2 linked regions of the Xenopus tropicalis genome follow. The protein of the gene in region 2 interacts with the protein of the main gene of each other region in a biochemical or structural test. Links are inferred from orthologs where the notes say so. Each region holds a gene or a part of one and is shown on either strand. Other genes may lie near its edges. The genes, in order: rrm2.1 and rrm1.

Region 1 (9,215 bases), on a different chromosome or scaffold from region 2:
AAGATTTGGCAAGCGTTGGAATGCACAGAGCCCTGACCTCAGCTGAACACTTGTGGGATAATCCCTCCAACATCACTGTCCAGACTCACAAATGCTCTTATGTGTGAATGGAAGCGAATCCCAGCAACAACGTTCCAATAGTAGAGGCTGTTATAGCAGCAACGGGAGGGACCAACTTCTTATTGATTTCTTGGTTCAGAAAAGAAACGTTGGACAGACAGATGTACAAATACCTTTTGCCATAAAGCGTTAATTGATCACTTGTAAATATGATTGAGCAGTTACGGATATAAAGGATTTGATATAGAACATTAGATTGTATTTAGATCATAGTAGAAAAAAAAGATTTATAAGATCCAATCTCTTATTTCTACCACAACATAAATAGGAAAAAAAAATGTAAATTGAATTTCAGCTTGAAAGGACCAAGCCGTTAGGTAACAAGCTAAACTCCAGCCTTCGCACACAGTACAAATATGAACTAAGACACTCATTAAAATTCTAGTTTGATCAAAGGTAACACATATTTGCTGAACTTGGGGAGGGAAAAAAGCTGTAAAAATCTTGCAGTTCTCTAATTATGGAAACATCTGATTAATGTAACTTCTGCAATGTACTGTAGATCTAATTAGGCCATAGTATAATTAAAGAATGAAATACATCCGGGTGTCATGGTAACATAATAGCAAAGGAGAAGCTTTACATTTATATTTGTGGAACCATAGTGGTTCACAATGTGTGTGTGTGTGTGTCTATACACACACAGAAGCCTCAGATAACCTTCAGAATTATAACTTCATAAATGTGACTTCAGATTTCTATGACCTGATCTGTGATCAGTTATATCCTTATAATACACACAAGCCATAAATAACAATTAAGGATAATCCTTATAATCTGTCCTTAGCAATGGCATTTGTGCCACATTACTTACATTATGTACTCTGTTAAAATATAGATATTAAAGTCACTTTGAAGTTCCTTGTGCCGTTATATTGTTATGGTACAGGTATGGGTTTATTTAATGGTTAAATGATTCCCTTTTCTCTGTAATAATAAAACAGTACCTGTACTTGATCCCAACTAATATATAATTACCCCTTATTGGGGACAGAACAGCCCTATTGGGTTTATTTCATGGTTAAATGATTCCCTTTTCTCTGTAATAATAAAACAGTACCTGTACTTGATCCCAACTAAGATATAATTACCCCTTATTGGGACAGAACAGCCCTATTGGGTTTATTTCATGGTTAAAGGATTCCCTTTTCTCTGTAATAATAAAACAGTACCTGTACTTGATCCCAACTAAGATATAATTACCCCTTATTGGTGGCAGAACAGCCCTATTGGGTTTATTTAATGGTTAAATGATTCCCTTTTCTCTGTAATAATAAAACAGTACCTGTACTTGATCCCAACTAAGATATAATTACCCCTTATTGGGGGAGAACAGCCCTATTGGGTTTATTTAATGGTTAAATGATTCCCTTTTCTCTGTAATAAAACAGTACCTGTACTTGATCCCAACTAAGATATAATTACCCCTTATTGGGGACAGAACAGCCCTATTGGGTTTATTTCATGGTTAAATGATTCCCTTTTCTCTGTAATAATAAAACAGTACCTGTACTTGATCCCAACTAAGATATAATTACCCCTTATTGGGGGCAGAACAGCCCTATTGGGTTTATTTAATGGTTAAATGATTCCCTTTTCTCTGTAATAAAACAGTACCTGTACTTGATCCCAACTAAGATATAATTACCCCTTATTGGGGGCAGAACAGCCCTATTGGGCTTATTTAATGGTTAAATGATTCCCTTTTCTCTGTAATAAAACAGTACCTGTACTTGATCCCAACTAAGATATAATTACCCCTTATTGGGGGCAGAACAGCCCTATTGGGTTTATTTCATGGTTAAATGGTTCCCTTTTCTCTGTAATAATAAAACAGTACCTGTACTTGATCCCAACTAAGATATAATTACCCCTTATTGGGGGCAGAACAGCCCTATTGGGCTTATTTAATGGTTAAATGATTCCCTTTTCTCTGTAATAAAACAGTACCTGTACTTGATCCCAACTAACTTATAATTAATCCTTATTGGGTGAAAAACAATCCTATTGGGTTTATTCAATTCTTAAATGATTTTTAACAGACTTAAAGAAGAGCTAAAGCTTAGCTAAAGAAGTAGGGCAGAAATGTTGTAGATTATGTTTTAGGTTTCTGTACCAGCCCAAGGTGACTACAACCCTTTAGCAGTAGAGATCTGTGCCTCCAAAGATGCCCCAGTAGCCCCCCCAACTTCTTTTCTGCTGCTTCCCTCCACATGCTCTGTGCTGCTGTCAGTTACTGAGCTTAGGGACCGACTCAAAATATACTGCATAAATAGAGTATAAAAGCGGATTAGTAATTCACTCAGATTCACATTACATGACAGATCTAAATCCAGGGCATTTGCATTAGAATTTCCTGTTACTAGTAGCATCTTATATGACAGACAACCCTCATTTTCTGCTTGATAACTTGCAACAACCCCTAAGCATTTCTATATATATTATTTTTAGGGTTTAGCTCTCCTTTAAGTTATGGAGATCCCGAGCACAACAGACATATATATTAGCTAGTTTCAAGAAAGGGTAGGATGACTTTTTAGCCACCCACCAATCACAATTACGGTTATTGTATTTAAAAAAAGGGATATAGTCTCAAGCTGCTGACTTGCAAGTACAGTGCCCGCAGCAGGGAAGTAATTTGGATTCTTTGTTCTTAAGGGATTGTATTCAGGAATATGACTAAGAATGGCATCATAAGTAGCAATCAACACGAAGGTGGACAAGAGGGTTTTAAGGTGTAGTAAAGGCCACAATGCACCACTTAGAACTAGAACTTAAAATAATTGCATGATCATTTTAATTGTGAAGCACGGTCCATCCTTCTAGCACTGTAATTTCACAAGGTGCAGCGGTAACAAAAATTGGCACGGGCAGGTAACAAATATACTGTATACTCCAATACTGAATGATGCTCACGACCCTTGCCATTAAAATCTACTGCTATGTTTGCTAAATGCATGTAAAGCCATAAAAATTTTACTTTTGGACGGTTTCTTTTGAAAATTAGGTAGTGGTTTCTCTCTATTCACATTACTGTGAAAATATTGCCCTCTAGTGGCCATCTGTGACCACATTTTTCTTCCTTGAAGTACAATACCAGGTTCCAGGACTGGCCAAACATTACCAGTGAATGATAACAATGACTAGCACCGCACTGCCTACTCCCAGCACCATCCCAAGCTGGTAACCCAAGGCACCCGGCCAATCATTACCACCATGGAAGTTATCCTTGAGCAATATGGTCAGACACTCTTTAGTAAGAAAAAGGGCAGGCAGCTGTAATTACTGATAATTGGAAATAGCAATGTGGCACCCACAATATTTCTATCTTGTGGTGCAATATTTTTACCTATACCCTATAGAAGGACAATGGCAAACAGCAGGGAGATTATGGTCACATATAGGTTCAGACAGGTCTTCAAGCATGGCAACTGCTGCTCTAATAAGCAAAGCACCTGCACTCGGCCTTACCCTTTCAGTGAATCTGGCACCCCCCTCTGCCCAAACAAATCAGCATACCCAAATTCAATTATATATTACATTTTTATTACAACATTTTATAATCAAAGATCTATCAAAACTACAAAAGGTGTTCCTGCTCATACCAAGCTATAGAGTATTCTGTGGAGGCACCACAGAGCAAGGTAGATTTTCTGACACTGACTTACCTGCTCTCTTTATAAGCAGGGCCAAGAACAAGCAACATTTGTTTTCAAAGTGAAGGCACACATACTTTACTATAGCATGCAGACTAGAACAGAGTAAAAAACCGGCAGCATTTATAAATGCCATGCACGTTTAAACACAAATATAAGAAACATTTAAAATTCGGCATTTAAAGTGAATTGCTTGTCTGTTGCCTTGGACATGACACCCATCTTCTGGTATTCGGCAACTTTCTTCTCAAAGAAATTAGTCTTTCCTTCCAAGGATATGTTCTCCATAAAATCAAATGGATTCTCACTCTTAAAAATCTGAAAAAAAAAAAAAAAAATTCTGTATTTGCCTTCCCACAAAACCAGAGGCAAAAGTAGTATAGACCACAACTTTGAAGCCCTTTATAGACTGCACACACTAGAAGGAATCTGAAACTACAAGGAAACATGGGAGCAAAGGTTATTTCTGGTTAGCCTGCCCAAGGGTGTTACACGGGTCATTTATTTCATTATTATTCATAAATTAGCTGCCCAGTATTGTACTACAGCCATGGTTTAAAGCTTTATGAGAAAGAAAGTCAATCTAACACATTCCTTTACACCCAAAATTGGTCAAGGTCTCATAGGGCCCAAAATAAAACCAGATATCCAAGGAGCACTCTTGTATAAATTCGATGGAGGCAGTGCCAAATGGTAAGACTATGTAGGTTTAAAAGGGACATAGTGTAAAAAATTTACTTATCTAAATATAGAAGGAATGTGCTTTAAAATTTCTCAAAAAACCCAGACTAGTCTCGCTCATCTGTTACACTTCCTGCTGCCTCCTTTCCCAGGGTGTTCCGGGGGGCCTGTGCACTGCACTGTAGGATACCAACCAACAGCTAGGCTGACCTGATAGGGAACTGAAGTCTTTGCTTGTGTGACTGCAGGGACAGTTAGGACATGCCCACCCCTCATCTGAATCATGGATAGGGACAAGAGGATCTATAGGGAGCTCCAATAAAGAGGCCATTTTTACAGATAGTGTTAATTTTTAGACCAAAGCGAAACCAGCACCCACCAGCAGGATTCTCTGGTATCAGTCCAACCCTGCTTAAGTGCAGAATAAGAAATGCTTTCCCCTTAAACAGCAAAGATTTCAGAGCACTGGCAGACCACAATGTAAAAGTTACCTTTTTAAAACCTAGCTCCAGCAGAAGACGATCTGCCACAAATTCAATATACTGCTTCATCAGTTTGCAGTTCATACCAATTAGCTCCACAGGCAAAGCTTCAGTCAAGAACTCCTAGAAGAATGGAGCAGAAAAATATAGTTACCTCCAAATTACTTTGAGATTTTATAGTAGCCGAACATTAATATAATGCAGAACAGAAAAAGGGGTTACCGTACTAAGTTAAGACATACCTGCTCAATCTTGACAGCATCAATGATAATTTCCCTGACACGCTGCTCAGAGGGTTTGTGTACGACATGTTTAAACAGAAGGCAAGCAAAGTCAGTGTGTAAACCCTATAAAAAAAACAAAATGTCAACCATCAGAAATAAAGAATTCACAAGGGAGCGGAGTAAGAATAAAAAAAGAAATAAAGCAATTACTTCATCTCTGCTGATAAGTTCATTAGAGAAAGTGAGTCCAGGCATCAGCCCCCGTTTCTTCAGCCAGAATATGGAAGCAAATGAACCGGAGAAAAAGATCCCTTCAACAGCAGCAAAGGCCACAATGCGCTCGCCTAGGAGGAAGAAAAACAAAACATTTGAATCCAATATATAGCAGTAAACACAGACACGATCACCTCTCATGTGTTCCAGTCACCAAGGATAAACAGGGGATGGAGGCGGAATAATTCAGCTTGGTACTCCGATTTGTCTTACAAAAAGGTGCTTCTCTGTCGCTTATCCAACGCAGGGCCCATTCTGCCTTCTTTTTCACACAGGGTAAGGTTTCTATTGCATTGAAGAGGAACTCCCTGTAAAGTTTGCACTCCATTAGTTTCAGGTATAAGGCGCATTAAGTTTAAAACAAGTACAGTACTCTATTCTATAGAACAAGGGTTTGAGTTTCTGCAGTCCAGAGTCCTCACTTTCGCCGTCACCCATTCTGCCACATGTTGTCTGAATTTATCTACTGCTATAAATAGGGATTGGGTGCAACATAAAAACAGGCTTACCTTTCCTTGGGATCTTTAATGTAGGTGTCGATAAGAAGGCTGTACATCTCAGAATGAATATTCTCCATTGCAATTTGGAAGCCATAAAAGCAGCGAGCCTCGGTTACTTGCACTTCCTGGCTGAAGCGCTCCACCTAAAGCATTGGGAGACAGCAATGAATCAAGGTGCTGGTATTAGTAAGTTTGGTGTATGTTGCGTGCAACAAGCACATGGGATTATGTAATGTAGTGCACAGCAAAAATGCACCATTAGATGCTCACGAGAATGGGCTTGAGACAAACCCTGAGATTCAAAGTACAGTTTGTGCTTATTAGGGTAAAAACTTTGATACAAAGCATAATTTAAGTTGTGTAAAAAGGAGATCCCTTTCTTGGCCAACAAAGATAAATCATAGTAAGGAACATTTCAGTTCCTTTTTTAAAGCGGATTACAAAGAAGCTATGTAGGCTCTAATATATTTATGTATTTTATATTTGGATTGCAAGTAGAGACACACAAATGGGGAGGTTTTAAATTGCCTTTGATAAGAGATTTTGGAGTCGTCCAGGTTGCGGCTGGGGCTATTACAATGTTTTCTTCCTGGTGTGCCAATCCACACTCACCAGCACACCCTGGCCTTTCCACTCTGTTCCACCTTGTGAGCAGTATTTGGAGAGACTTTGGCACTCTTTTCTTCCTGGTGTGGCCTTTTTATTGTTTATGGTAAACCAGTGACTAGTGGTCCTTTTTCTGCGGCTTTGTCCTGTTACTTCAATGTAAATACCTCCTGTTGGACACTTTTTTTTTAGGAAATTATGCCTCAAGGAATTCTTCTATGTCATTGCAGAATTCAGTTTTGCCAATTGCTTTTCTGTGGGGCCTTTTGTGAATAATGTTAGCGCCTCTCTTGCTGGAGTATAATCTATGTGTTTACCACAAATGTTTTTTTGTGCCTGTACAGAATTTATACTGCGTTGTGGAGACGTAGCCCTTGTAGTTTTTTCAGTACAATGCAAATCCAAACTTTACATCCTCAGTCTCCATTCCAGTAATTTGACCTTGAGAATGGTTGCAGTGTTACTTTTTTTTTTTTTATGTATAACACCTTGATTAGGTGTGGTTCTTCAGTCATTCTGGTGCAGTTGTTTAGCAAAGTGGGGTGCACCATACTGGGTTCTTTAGTGCAAGGCCTTTGGGTTTTTCCTTTTTGCATCTTTTGAGGAAAAAGATGCTGCTGTCCAGATGAGTCAGTTCCTTCAGTAAGGTCTCTTCACAAAAGGGTGGGAATACAAAAGGTATGCAATACTTTAGGCTGAAGCCACACAAGGATTCTCAGCCTGCAGATAAATTCAGACCAAGAATCTGCCCCTACACTTCAAAAATCTTTGTGCCTGCACCTGGAGCCACTGTATCATGTATGTAGTTTGGCACCAAATTCCGCTTAGTGTGTCTGCACCTAGGCCAATGCAATGTCTATTTTATTAATCCATAATTTGGGCACATCCTGATATAACAACGCAGAGAAATGTATAAACGTGGCTGCACTTACCAGATTCTCATTCACAATGCCATCACTTGCTGCAAAAAAGGCCAACACATAAGAAATGAAGTATCTTTCCTCAGGCTTTAGAGCTTCCCAGTGCGGAAGATCTTTAGAAAGATCCACCTACATGACAGACAAAAGCAACCACTGAACAGAGAGACAGAAAAGAGAATTATAGCAAGGAGCACATTGTCTAAGTATAGTTTCCATTGCGGAGTACATACAGGGACAGAAAAGTAAATTGAAATTCAGTATGTGCTGGACAATTACACATGCATTATTTTTCTTCACATAATAGTATGGGATCTGTTATCCAGAATGCTTGGGATCTGGGGTTCTGATTAAGGGACCTTTATATAATTGGGAAATTCAGTCTACTAAAAATCATTTAAATAAACCCAACAGTTGTTTTGGCACCAATTTGGATTAATGCAGCTATTCTGTCCCCACAGTGATCTCTAGAAGCTGGCCTGAACTCAGTCTAACATTTGCTGCACTGTGCATTCACAGAGCCCAGGGTAACAGCTTGGCAGTATGTATGTATAACTTAATTTATAAAGCGCCACAAGGGTACGCAGCACTGTACAGTCTTACAGAATACAAAATTACACACAGGGAGGACAAGTGATATAATGAATAAATACAATATATATATATATATATATATATATATATATATATATATATCCTGATGACGATCCTGTGGTGATCGAAACGCGTAGATGGTATGCTGAAATCACTGACCTGATTGATGCTGTAGCTGTGAGTGCTTTCTACTGTTGAGTTTGATGCATTATTTTTGTCAGCACCCAGCCTGTGCCCGATACTGGCGAGTGCAGATTCTTTACAAGACTATATATTATAAGTGCCATGTGGTATGAGACAGTAGAAAGGAGGTCCCATTCAGCATTCATTAGAATTGTACCTGGGCTGGGTATTTCAGTTGAGGCAGCCTGGTTATTTAAGAATTCTGCTGTTTTTTTTTTGTTTTTTTTAATTCAGCGACATCCCATTTCAACTGGCATAGATAACACCCTACCGTTGCCCATGCTTTCTATAGCCTTGACCAATATTTTACCTCATGCACTCAAAGAACCCACCACAGACCTTTCTTCCAAGCTCCCACAATCTCACCAAACAGCACGACATTCCCTTAAGAACAGGATTTATATACTTTGGGTTCAGGGTCACTAATGCAGTCCTCCCCTTTAGACTGCAGCTTAAGATATGCCATGGGACATTTCAAGGTTCATATCATCACTTCTTTTCTTCCCTCACCCAAAGCAAATCCCTGTGAAAATCCATTACGTCATCAAATGTGGGTGGGAGTTGATCAGGAACCAGGAAGGGCATGAACATATATTAAAATGCACAAGAAGAGTTGAACAGTCCCTTGTCTTTAATACACAAAAATCCATAATATAGTGCAACTAACTAGCGATGGGCAAAATAATTTCACGCATTGCCACGCATTGCTTCCTTTGACAAGGCATCAAAGGAATGATGCACACGTTAAAAAAAAAAACTATGCATGCATCAAAAGCTGACGCCCATGTCAAAGGAAGCGACACACAGCAAATTCTACTGTCGCCACACAAATCATTTCGCCCATCCCTACTACTATACAATCATTGCTGTAGGTAATACAAACACAACCACACTGGATTTTTTGGTCTTTTACCTCTTCTGCTGTCCAGAAAGAAGCCTCCGCCTTCTTGTACATCTGCCAAATATCATGATACTCAAT
Region 2 (9,572 bases):
GGCCGCCTTGTTCTTCTCTTTCTCCTCCTTGTCCTTCTCCATAGTCTCCTTGGATATCAGCTCCTTTTCCTTTAACTTCTCCTTATTGAGTGTGAACTGGATGGGATTGGCAGCCGGCCGCGTGCGCAGGTAGTACATTCCTGTCTTCAGCCCCTGCCGGGAGAATATGGGGGTTAGACTTGATGTACACAGAACCAGCCAGAGTGTGGGCCCAGTTACTAACACCGGGTTCTATGGGTTACAGCCCACGTACAAAGCAGCCCAATCAGGGATTAGTATTCTGCCAGTTAAATCAGTTACAATCAGTTACAATCTTTATTTTGAAAAACTAAAACTATTAATTGTAAGACATGCAATTATTATACCTATTGAACCTCGTAGGAATATCACTCAAGGTTCAACACTTAATAAAACCGACAAAAAAAAGGTTGAAATCTGACTGGCATTATGGTTGAACGTGATGGACGTATGTCTTTTTTCAATCTAACTTACTATGTTACTATGACTATGACTGGTTACCACGAGTTACTGCCTTGACATGAAAGGACATATTTCTACTTAAATTTCTATTTCTCTCCCTCAGCCCCAAAGGCAGCACTTGAGATGCTCCAGCCTGTAGGCAGCAAAACCACCACCCAAGGTTCAACCCAGCACAACCCCCTGCCACTCCCAGGGTCAGACTGGGGGGTACAGGGCCCATTGGGGCCCCACAAACCCCTCCCCTGAGCACACCTGCTTTAGTCTTACCTTAGGAGCGACACAAGGTTTGGGTCTAGGACAGCTGGGCCGCCAGGTTTTTTTCCCAGTGCACCATTGGCCCAGTCTGACCCTGGCCTCTCTCATTGCACAAAGTCACCCTGCAGAGTTAATCCCCGATACATAGGGAGAGAAATACTGCGCTGCCTGTGGCTACCACAATGTACATGAGAGACGGGAACATTAGGGAGGCGGCTAAAATCCTAAAAATCGACCTTAGTCCTATGGCCTGAGCCCTGGTAACATAGTAAGTTGGGTGGACACACGTCCATCACGTTCAACCATAATGACAATATATAACCTGCCTAATTACTAGTTGATCCAGAGGAAGGCAAAAAACCCCATCTGAAGCCTCTCTAATTTGCTGCAGAGGGGAAAAAATTCCTTCCTGACTCCAAGATGGCAATCGGACCAGTCCCTGGGGCAACTTGTACTGAGAGCTCTCTCCCCTACCCCTGTATTCCCTCACTTGTACTGAGAGCTATCTCCCCTACCCCTGTATTCCCTCACTTGTACTGAGAGCTATCCCCCCTAACCCTGTATTCCCTCACTTGTACTGAGAGCTATCCCCCCTACCCCTGTATTCCCTCACTTGTACTGAGAGCTATCCCCCCTACCCCTGTATTCCCTCACTTGTACTGAGAGCTATCCCCCCTACCCCTGTATTCCCTCACTTGTACTGAGAGCTATCTCCCCTACCCCTGTATTCCCTCACTTGTACTGAGAGCTATCCCCCCTACCCCTGTATTCCCTCACTTGTACTGAGAGCTATCCCCCCTACCCCTGTATTCCCTCACTTGTACTGAGAGCTATCCCCCTACCCCTGTATTCCCTCACTTGTACTGAGAGCTATCCCCCCTACCCCTGTATTCCCTCACTTGTACTGAGAGCTATCTCCCCTACCCCTGTATTCCCTCACTTGTACTGAGAGCTATCTCCCATAACCCTGTATTCCCTCACTTGTACTGAGAGCTATCCCCCATACCCCTGTATTCCCTCACTTGTACTGAGAGTTATCCCCCCTACCCCTGTATTTCCTCACTTGCTGAAAATGGTGACTTAGTGGGTCATAATACAAGACAGGGAGGTTCTGTTCTATCCTGTAGCAGAGCTCTTTTGTACCTAGTGGGATGAGCTTCTCTTGCTACATGTTGCCTGGGGATGTGAAGGTTTTTAGTCTTGTTAAAAAAAAAAAACTTATTGTAAAATAACCCAATATCAATTTCCACATAATATGGTCGCTACTAACGGAGTGTAAGTTGGGTTTGAACAGGAGAATAAGTTCGTTACCTGCTTCCAGCCAAAGAAGTGCATGCTGGTGAGTTTGCCGTAGTTTGGCTCTGCGACATGGATGTTCAGTGACTGGCTCTGGTCGATGAACGCTCCTCTGTCTGCCGCCATTGTAATCACCGTCTTCTGAGATATTTCCCACACCGTCTTGTACAGCTCTTTCAGATCAGCAGGGATGTCTGGGACATTCTAGGGAGACGGGACAATAGAACGTTAGAGACAGACACAAAGCACATCCCAGTGACACTAATGGGGCAGACTCTGGACTCTGTCCCATGAAGAGTTAAAGCCTCAGCAGCTTCTACAGCATTAAAGTATTTCAAATAAAACTTCAGCCCAATTATATTGGCCTAAATGTAGGCTGGACCAGAATCAACTGGATACCTACAATCACCAATTCTTAATTCTTTTCAACATTATCCATACAATCTTATAATAGATGGATCATAGACCAAGAATGTTCCAAGCCAGGAATAAATGGAATATACAGAATAGCCCCTCTACAATGTCTATAAACAATTCCACTGGGATGAGCCCCACAGCCAGCAGCGGCCCAGACCCATACCTGTATGGAGCCATTGTTGGCAATAATCTGATTTTTCATTTCTTCGTTCCACAGCCCTCGCTCTGTCAGGTCTTTCATTAAATGTGGGTTCACAATCTGTAAGAGAAAAGTTACAAGCCTTTAGGGTACATAAAGTGTCTGTTACTCACAGAAGCCAGGTCATTTCCCAGGGTGCCACAGCCATGTGACCTGTGCTCTGATAAACTTCAGTCACACTTTACTGCTGCGCTGCAAGTTGGAGTGATATCCTCCCCCCTCAGCAGCCGATCAGCAGAACAATGGGAAGGGAGCAAGATAGCAGCTCCCAGTAGGTATCAGAATAGCACTCAATAGTAAGAAATCCAAGTCCGGCTTGGGACTCCTCCAGTTACATGGGAGTAGGAGAAACAATAGGTTAGCTGAAAGCAGTTCATGTGTAGCGCTGGCTGAAAGCTCAGACTCAGGCACACTTTACTATTTCATACAAAATAGAAAGTTGCAACTCTACATGCAACAACATTAGACGTATGTAGGCCGAGACCTACCTGGAACTCGCCAGACAGGACTCTGCGTGTGTATATATTGCTGGTATATGGCTCAATGGACTCATTATTGCCCAGGATTTGTGCAGTGGAAGCCGTGGGCATTGGAGCCAGAAGCAAACTGTTCCGGACGCCGTATCTAGGGGAAAAAAAACCAAAGAATTAACAAGGCTTAAGGTTTGAAAGCCTAACATGGTAAAACAGTGCTGGCAGCTGGGTTTCAATGTGACAGTAAGCACACTGACTCACTGGGGAGGTGGGAGAGTTTCAGTATTAACATGGGAACACTAGTTATACACACACCAATCCCAGAGGAGTACGCTTAGAAAGCCATAACACCTTGTTTAAGACTAACTGGCAATTATCCATTATATAATGGGCTTTTAGGTGCAATTAAGCCCTATGAATACCTCGCAGACTGTAAACACAAAGATAATCAATGTAATTTACACAGTGAATTCCAAAACAAAGAGAAAACGTATTGGATAAACAGGCAACAGGAAGAGCAGGAAGATAAATAGAAGATAGATATATAACACATATACTGGCAGGTACCCTATACAGTAAATCAGGGGTCAAACTCAGACCCCTCAGACTGTTGGAGGCTGGACTACAGTTATTAGCCCCCCCCAGCGCCCTCACCAGCTGGGGGGGCAGCGCACAACAGCACAGCGTTACACATCAGTAGTGTCACCCAGTGGGACATGGTGTTGTGAAGCAATGGGGCAAAAAGCCACACTGAGGAAGGTAGGTGAGAATTCAGTGGGGGGGGGGGCGGGTATATCCAGCCAGCGGGTCGTAGTGGAGGGTCCCCGCCCTAAACTATGGGCTCTGTTGGTACCTTACACATACAGGCTTAACTGAAACATATGAAATGGGTCAAGAGAAACACATTTAGTTGCTGAACTAACATCCAGGGGCTGTTGAGTATGTCATATATAAACCCATACTATATAGGATGGTGACGGGGAAGTCATCATTAAAGGGGATGTTCACCTTGGAGTTAACTTTTAGTATAATGTAGAAGAGTAACATCGAGAATTTGCAATTGGTCTTCATTTTTTATTTGTATTTTTTTTTATTTCAGTTTTTGTTCAGCAGCTCTCCTGTTTGGAGTTTCAGCAGGTATCTGGTTGCTAGGGTCCAAGTTACCTTAGCATCCAGGGTGTGGTTTAAATGAAAGACTGATAGCTGAATAGGGGAGGGGCTGAATAGAAAAACTAAAAAAGTAGCAATAACATTTTAACAGTTTTTTGGCTGCGGGGGTCAGTGACTGCAAAAAGTTAGAAGGCGGCAAATAATTAAAAAAACTATAAAGACCAACTGAAAAGTTGCTTAGAAGTGGCCATTCTATACTAAAAGTTAACTGTAAGCACTTTACCAAGGCATTATAAGCCAGACAGACACTACTCACTTTGCAATCTTCTCCTTCAAGGCAGCCCAGTCCCAGAGACCTGTGGGAGTTACATTCCACATGTCGTACTGTAGGATCTGCGAGAGACAAGATGGATACACACAAACCCAGCTGTAATTCTATAACCAGAACCATAATACACATCTGCAAGTTACAGGCAGTGGGGTCTGTATTCCAGTTTTACCCCATTCTTACCCCTTTACTGACGGGGCTCCCTTCATACGTATCATACGGACCCAGCTCCTTGGCCAGCTCACAGCTGGATTCCAGCGCAGCGTAATAAATGGTCTCAAATATTTGCTTGTTTAACAGCTGAGCCTCCTCACTCTCAAACGGGTATCTCATGAGGATGAAGGCGTCTGCCAAGCCCTGCACTCCAATCCCGATTGGCCGATGCCTCTTGTTGGAATATTCGGCCTGTAGGAAAGATTTGATCACAAAATAAAAAAATCATAAAAATGGTGCAAAACAATGAAGGAAACATTAAACAGGGCAGCTTAGTTATGCCACAGCAGTACAGGCCGCAGCAGGAAGCCGACGTACAGATATGAATTAAATGGCAATTGGACAAATGGCACTAAACTAATGTTCCATACATTGTAAATAATCAAACGCATCAATCAAAGCAGATGTAGGTTAAATACATTTTACAGTACATTAACAAGAATGTGAAGGGATTTACCCAGTTTAAAGCCGAGCGCTGGCAATATCTTCTATTTTGTGTGCGTGCAAATAATGGTTGTACAGGTATAGCACCCGTTATCCAGAATGCTCGGGAACAAGGGTATTCCGGATAAGGGGTCTTTACGTAATTTGGATCTCCATACCTTAAGTCTACTAAAAAATTAATAAAACATTAAACCCAATAGGGCTGTTCTGCCCCAATAAGGGGTAATTATATCTTAGTTGGGATCAAGTACAGGTACTGTTTTATTATTAAAAATTGATTAAAATGGAGTCTATGGGAGACGGCCTTTCCGTAATTTGGCACTTTCTGGATGTGTTTCCGGATAAGGGATCGGATACCTGTACTATATTGTGTGCTCTGAGGCACATATCTAATATATAGACAGATCCTGCCATTTACTACATATAAAACGGTAACTCAGATCCTGGGTTGGTCAGTTTTGTATATGAAATGACTCCCTGTACCTCTCTGTATATAAAGGAGAAGGAAAGGTGCCAAGTTGTACAGAATATATATACCCGGAAGTGTAGAATTTTTCACTGCACATGCCGACATTTCCAAATCTTAATTAGGATTTGCATTCCGTTCCCTTAATATGGATTTGGCCGAACCAAAAAACTGGGCTCGGTGCACCCCTATTTGTAACAGCTCACAATTTCGCTTTTCTTTTTATTTATGGAACAAAGAGACTCACCTCGGGCACAGGATAAAAGTTTATTTCGATAATTTTGTTCAAATTTCGGACAATGACTTTGGTAACATCGGCCAACTTCTTGAAGTCAAAGCTGCGCTCTGGAGTCACGTACATGTTCAAGGCTAAAGAGGCCAAGTTACAGACCGCAACCTACGGGAGGGGCAGAGGAATGATAATAATGAGAGGGAAAATGAGACAAGGAAGGTAAAGGAGAAATGTTGTGTAGAAGACAGATACACTGTTACAGATTCAGCATGACAAAAGGAAGACTTCAGGGTATGAACCCACAGAGCGGTTCAGTGGCCACAATAGATCTCTATTATGAGTGACTTTGATTTCCACCGGCAACAATTGAAGTCGCTGGTGGAAACCCTTCAGATCGCTTTGGTAATCCCCAAGTTTCCTCCTGTAGGCAACTTCTGAAGACAAAGCGATGCAAAGGGTTTTCCACTGGCAACTTCAATTAATGCCGGCGGAGAGCCATTTCGGAGTGGTTTGCCACCCGCGATAGAGATCTATTGTGGGCCACTGAACCGCTCCAAGGAAAGGCTAAGTCACTTGGGGGTGCTAAAATGTTAGGCACCCCCAAGTGACTAATCGCTTACCTCGTACCCCGGGCTGGTGCCCCTGTTAGGAGAAAACAGCACCAGCCCGGGGTACCTGGAGCGATGGGCTTCCTTCTTCCGCCTGCGTTTCGCTAAGACTTACACGCAGGTGCATGCGCAGTAGAGTGAAAAGCAGACTTCTGTTAAAGTTCCACTATTCACTCTACTGTGCATGCGCGCGCAGCGCTACAGGAAGGAGGAAGCGCTGCAGCTACCCCGGGCTGGTGCTGGTCTCTCCATACAGGGACACCAGCCGGGGTAAAAGGTATGCGATTCAAGTCACTTGGGGGTGCCTAACATTTTGGCAACCCCAAGTGACTGCCTTTCTTTCTCCTTTAACTAAATCTAAAGGCTAAGATAATTATTGTTATTATTCTAGCTGTCTCTCTGGTAAGCAAATAGTGCTTCAATGATTATAATGTTTAGATGTGTTACCACAAAATACCAAGATAAAAAAAAAACAGGGAGACTAAAAAAAAGTAATTGTTAATCTAATGTTTAGCCTCTTGTGAACATACAGTATATACCCAACCTGATAAGCTGGTCAAATGTCTGCAGCTACAAAAGAAAAATGTGAGAACTGTTTGTCTTTAATACTCCAACACTAAACCCACCTACTCAGCTTAATGGCAGAGTGGCTTTCCTTTGGGGTGAGAAACACAGGCTGACAACAGGTTTAACCCAGTGATCCCCAACCAGTGGCAACATGTTGCTCCCCAACCCCCAGGATGTTGCTCCCAGTGGCCTCAAAGCAGGGGCTTATTTTTGAATTCAAGTCTTGGAGACAAGTTTTGGTTGCATGAAAACCAGATGTACTGCCAAACAGAACCTTCTGTTTGCCTGTCCACATAGGGGCTACTCAATAGCCAATCATAGCCCTTACTGGCCACCACCTAGGAACTTTCATGCTTGTGTAGATATGGGTAGTCAGAAGGGGCAAATTCTAAGTGCTTTAGGAGACACAAAGGAGTGGCTAAAGAGGCACGAAGCACTGGAGTGGGACACAATGTACATTGCCAAAAAGTAACTGAAAAGCCGAGGAAATCACGCTATTTTGTTACGCTATTTTAAAACCAAAACATATGCTCCCGATTGGTTTTCATGGCGATATAAATACACAAGATACAATATGTATCTAAATTTGAATTTGGTTTCTAGGCTGGCAATTTATATGCCAAAACCTTTAGCAGATTAAAACTAAACACTATCACATGTTTTCAGCAATAGTTTCTCTTTTAAAGGCATCTTTATTGAGCATCTTATTCTCCATTCTACCGAATGTAAATGGGAAGAAAAAGTTTGATAGCCCAGAAAGCCATACGCTGCCATTACCTCGTCGTCACTGGTGTACTCCACGATCTCTGTGCACAGGTTACTGCACTTAATGGTGCCCAGGTTCTGCTGATTGCTCTTGCGGTTACAGGCATCCTTGTACAGCATGTAGGGAGTGCCAGTCTCCGTCTGCGACTCTATAATGGCGTACCACAGCTGCTGGGCCTTCACCACCTTACGGGCTCGTCCTTCCTGCTCATATCTGTGGAAGCCAAAACAGCGTAAGGGATTTTACACCAATTACATTTTGCAATAAGCCAATCACTAACATTTAAGGCAGAAAATAATATACACCTCTTAATTCATAAAGGATTCAGAGAAAGAAAAATAATCCCACTGCCTACACCAATCATTTCAGCAAAAAAGGTAATTTCTTACTAACAACAATTACTAACACTCCCCCTCCCCTTTAACTGCCGGTACAAACTGATTTATAGACTGTGAGCCCATATTTGTTTATTGTGTGCATATCTATATGTAGAGCTATTTAGGCACACATTCTAAACAACTATGGGACGATGGTTCAAAAACTAATCAGCGCACAGATGAGGAATAGAATTGTACCTTTCATAGAGCTCTTCAAACTTGTCTCCCCACACTTCTTCCAAGCCAGGACATTCATGAGGACACATTAACGACCAATCCTGAAAGACAAAATGGTATGCAGTTTTATTTCTTGCCCTTAAGAGGATAATTATTGATGGCTGTTTGCTCAGAACCTCTCCAACATCAGGCTGTGGGGGTCACTGACCCTGGCACCATGATAGTATAATCCTTAGCCCAGTGTTATTAAATGCTCAGTGCATTCTATGCAGCCCCGTTACTGCTCACTGACTGGGGAAGCCATGTCACTGCAAATATGAAGCACAATTTAAATGCATATAAAGGTATTCCCTTACCAGATTATTCTCTACACGTTTCATAAAGAGATCTGGTATCCACATGGCATAGAACAGATCCCTGGCTCTCTGCTCCTCCTTTCCAGTGTTCTTTTTTAGGTCCAGGAATTCAAAGACATCGTAGTGCCACGGCTCCAGGTAAATGGCAAATGCACCAGGCCTCTGGGGTGAGACACGAGTCAGTGTGAGAGTGTGAGAAATCAGCCCTAATTTAATGTCCTTATTTTTTTTTTTTTTTTACTGGAGATCCCATTCACAGAAGAACCAACTTTAATGCCTCCAACCCACCAGTACCAACCTTGTTGCCTCCTTGATCCACATATCGCGCAGTGTTGTTGTACACTCTCAGCATCGGTACAAGGCCATTCGAGTTGCCATTTGTCTAAAGAATATAGGAAGGACAGTTACACCAACCTTCCCTTCCAGATCTTTGCAGAATCAGGCACAGTGGGTGCTATGATAGGGTTTTCCTCTATATACAAAAGGTTTAAAGACACCAGCAGGCATTGCATGTAAGGGTTTTTTTATGTTTTTAATCTATTGAAATAAATGTAAAGACATTTTTTACTCATTTAGAAGTAATTTTTGGTCTCTTATTGTATTTAATACACCAACAGGGAATGCTTAATGTTAAAGACACATGGAGCTACTAGTAGCAGCTACTTGTGATGGTTACTAAAATAGACAATGGTGATCTTTTACTGATAATTGTCTCTACATGTGTTTAGCAGAGCCAGTTCTCAGTATTGTCTATGGCAGGGGATTTTCTGGGGTTCAGTAGCTGTGAAAAAGTAGCTGCTACTAGTAG

The links.
Region 1: the proteins of rrm1 (region 2) and rrm2.1 form a complex in vitro, tested with the Homo sapiens proteins (3 studies listed by BioGRID and IntAct). The link is inferred for Xenopus tropicalis from reciprocal best matches to the Homo sapiens genes RRM1 and RRM2.

Annotation. Positions count from the first base shown.
Region 1 is NC_030681.2:138,194,423-138,203,637, reverse strand, and holds the end of rrm2.1 (ribonucleotide reductase M2, gene 1), read right to left. Parts: coding exon 9,150-9,215; intron 7,592-9,149; coding exon 7,475-7,591; intron 6,080-7,474; coding exon 5,946-6,079; intron 5,745-5,945; coding exon 5,650-5,744; intron 5,508-5,649; coding exon 5,374-5,507; intron 5,287-5,373; coding exon 5,182-5,286; intron 5,063-5,181; coding exon 4,949-5,062; intron 4,095-4,948; coding exon 3,942-4,094; 3' UTR 3,645-3,941; downstream 1-3,644. UniProt on the Homo sapiens protein: Provides the precursors necessary for DNA synthesis. Catalyzes the biosynthesis of deoxyribonucleotides from the corresponding ribonucleotides. Inhibits Wnt signaling.
Region 2 is NC_030678.2:178,096,160-178,105,731, forward strand, and holds part of rrm1 (ribonucleoside-diphosphate reductase large subunit), read right to left. Parts: intron 9,147-9,572; coding exon 9,063-9,146; intron 8,927-9,062; coding exon 8,765-8,926; intron 8,510-8,764; coding exon 8,430-8,509; intron 8,068-8,429; coding exon 7,866-8,067; intron 6,079-7,865; coding exon 5,929-6,078; intron 4,964-5,928; coding exon 4,742-4,963; intron 4,624-4,741; coding exon 4,547-4,623; intron 3,272-4,546; coding exon 3,136-3,271; intron 2,708-3,135; coding exon 2,612-2,707; intron 2,236-2,611; coding exon 2,047-2,235; intron 154-2,046; coding exon 1-153. UniProt on the Homo sapiens protein: Provides the precursors necessary for DNA synthesis. Catalyzes the biosynthesis of deoxyribonucleotides from the corresponding ribonucleotides.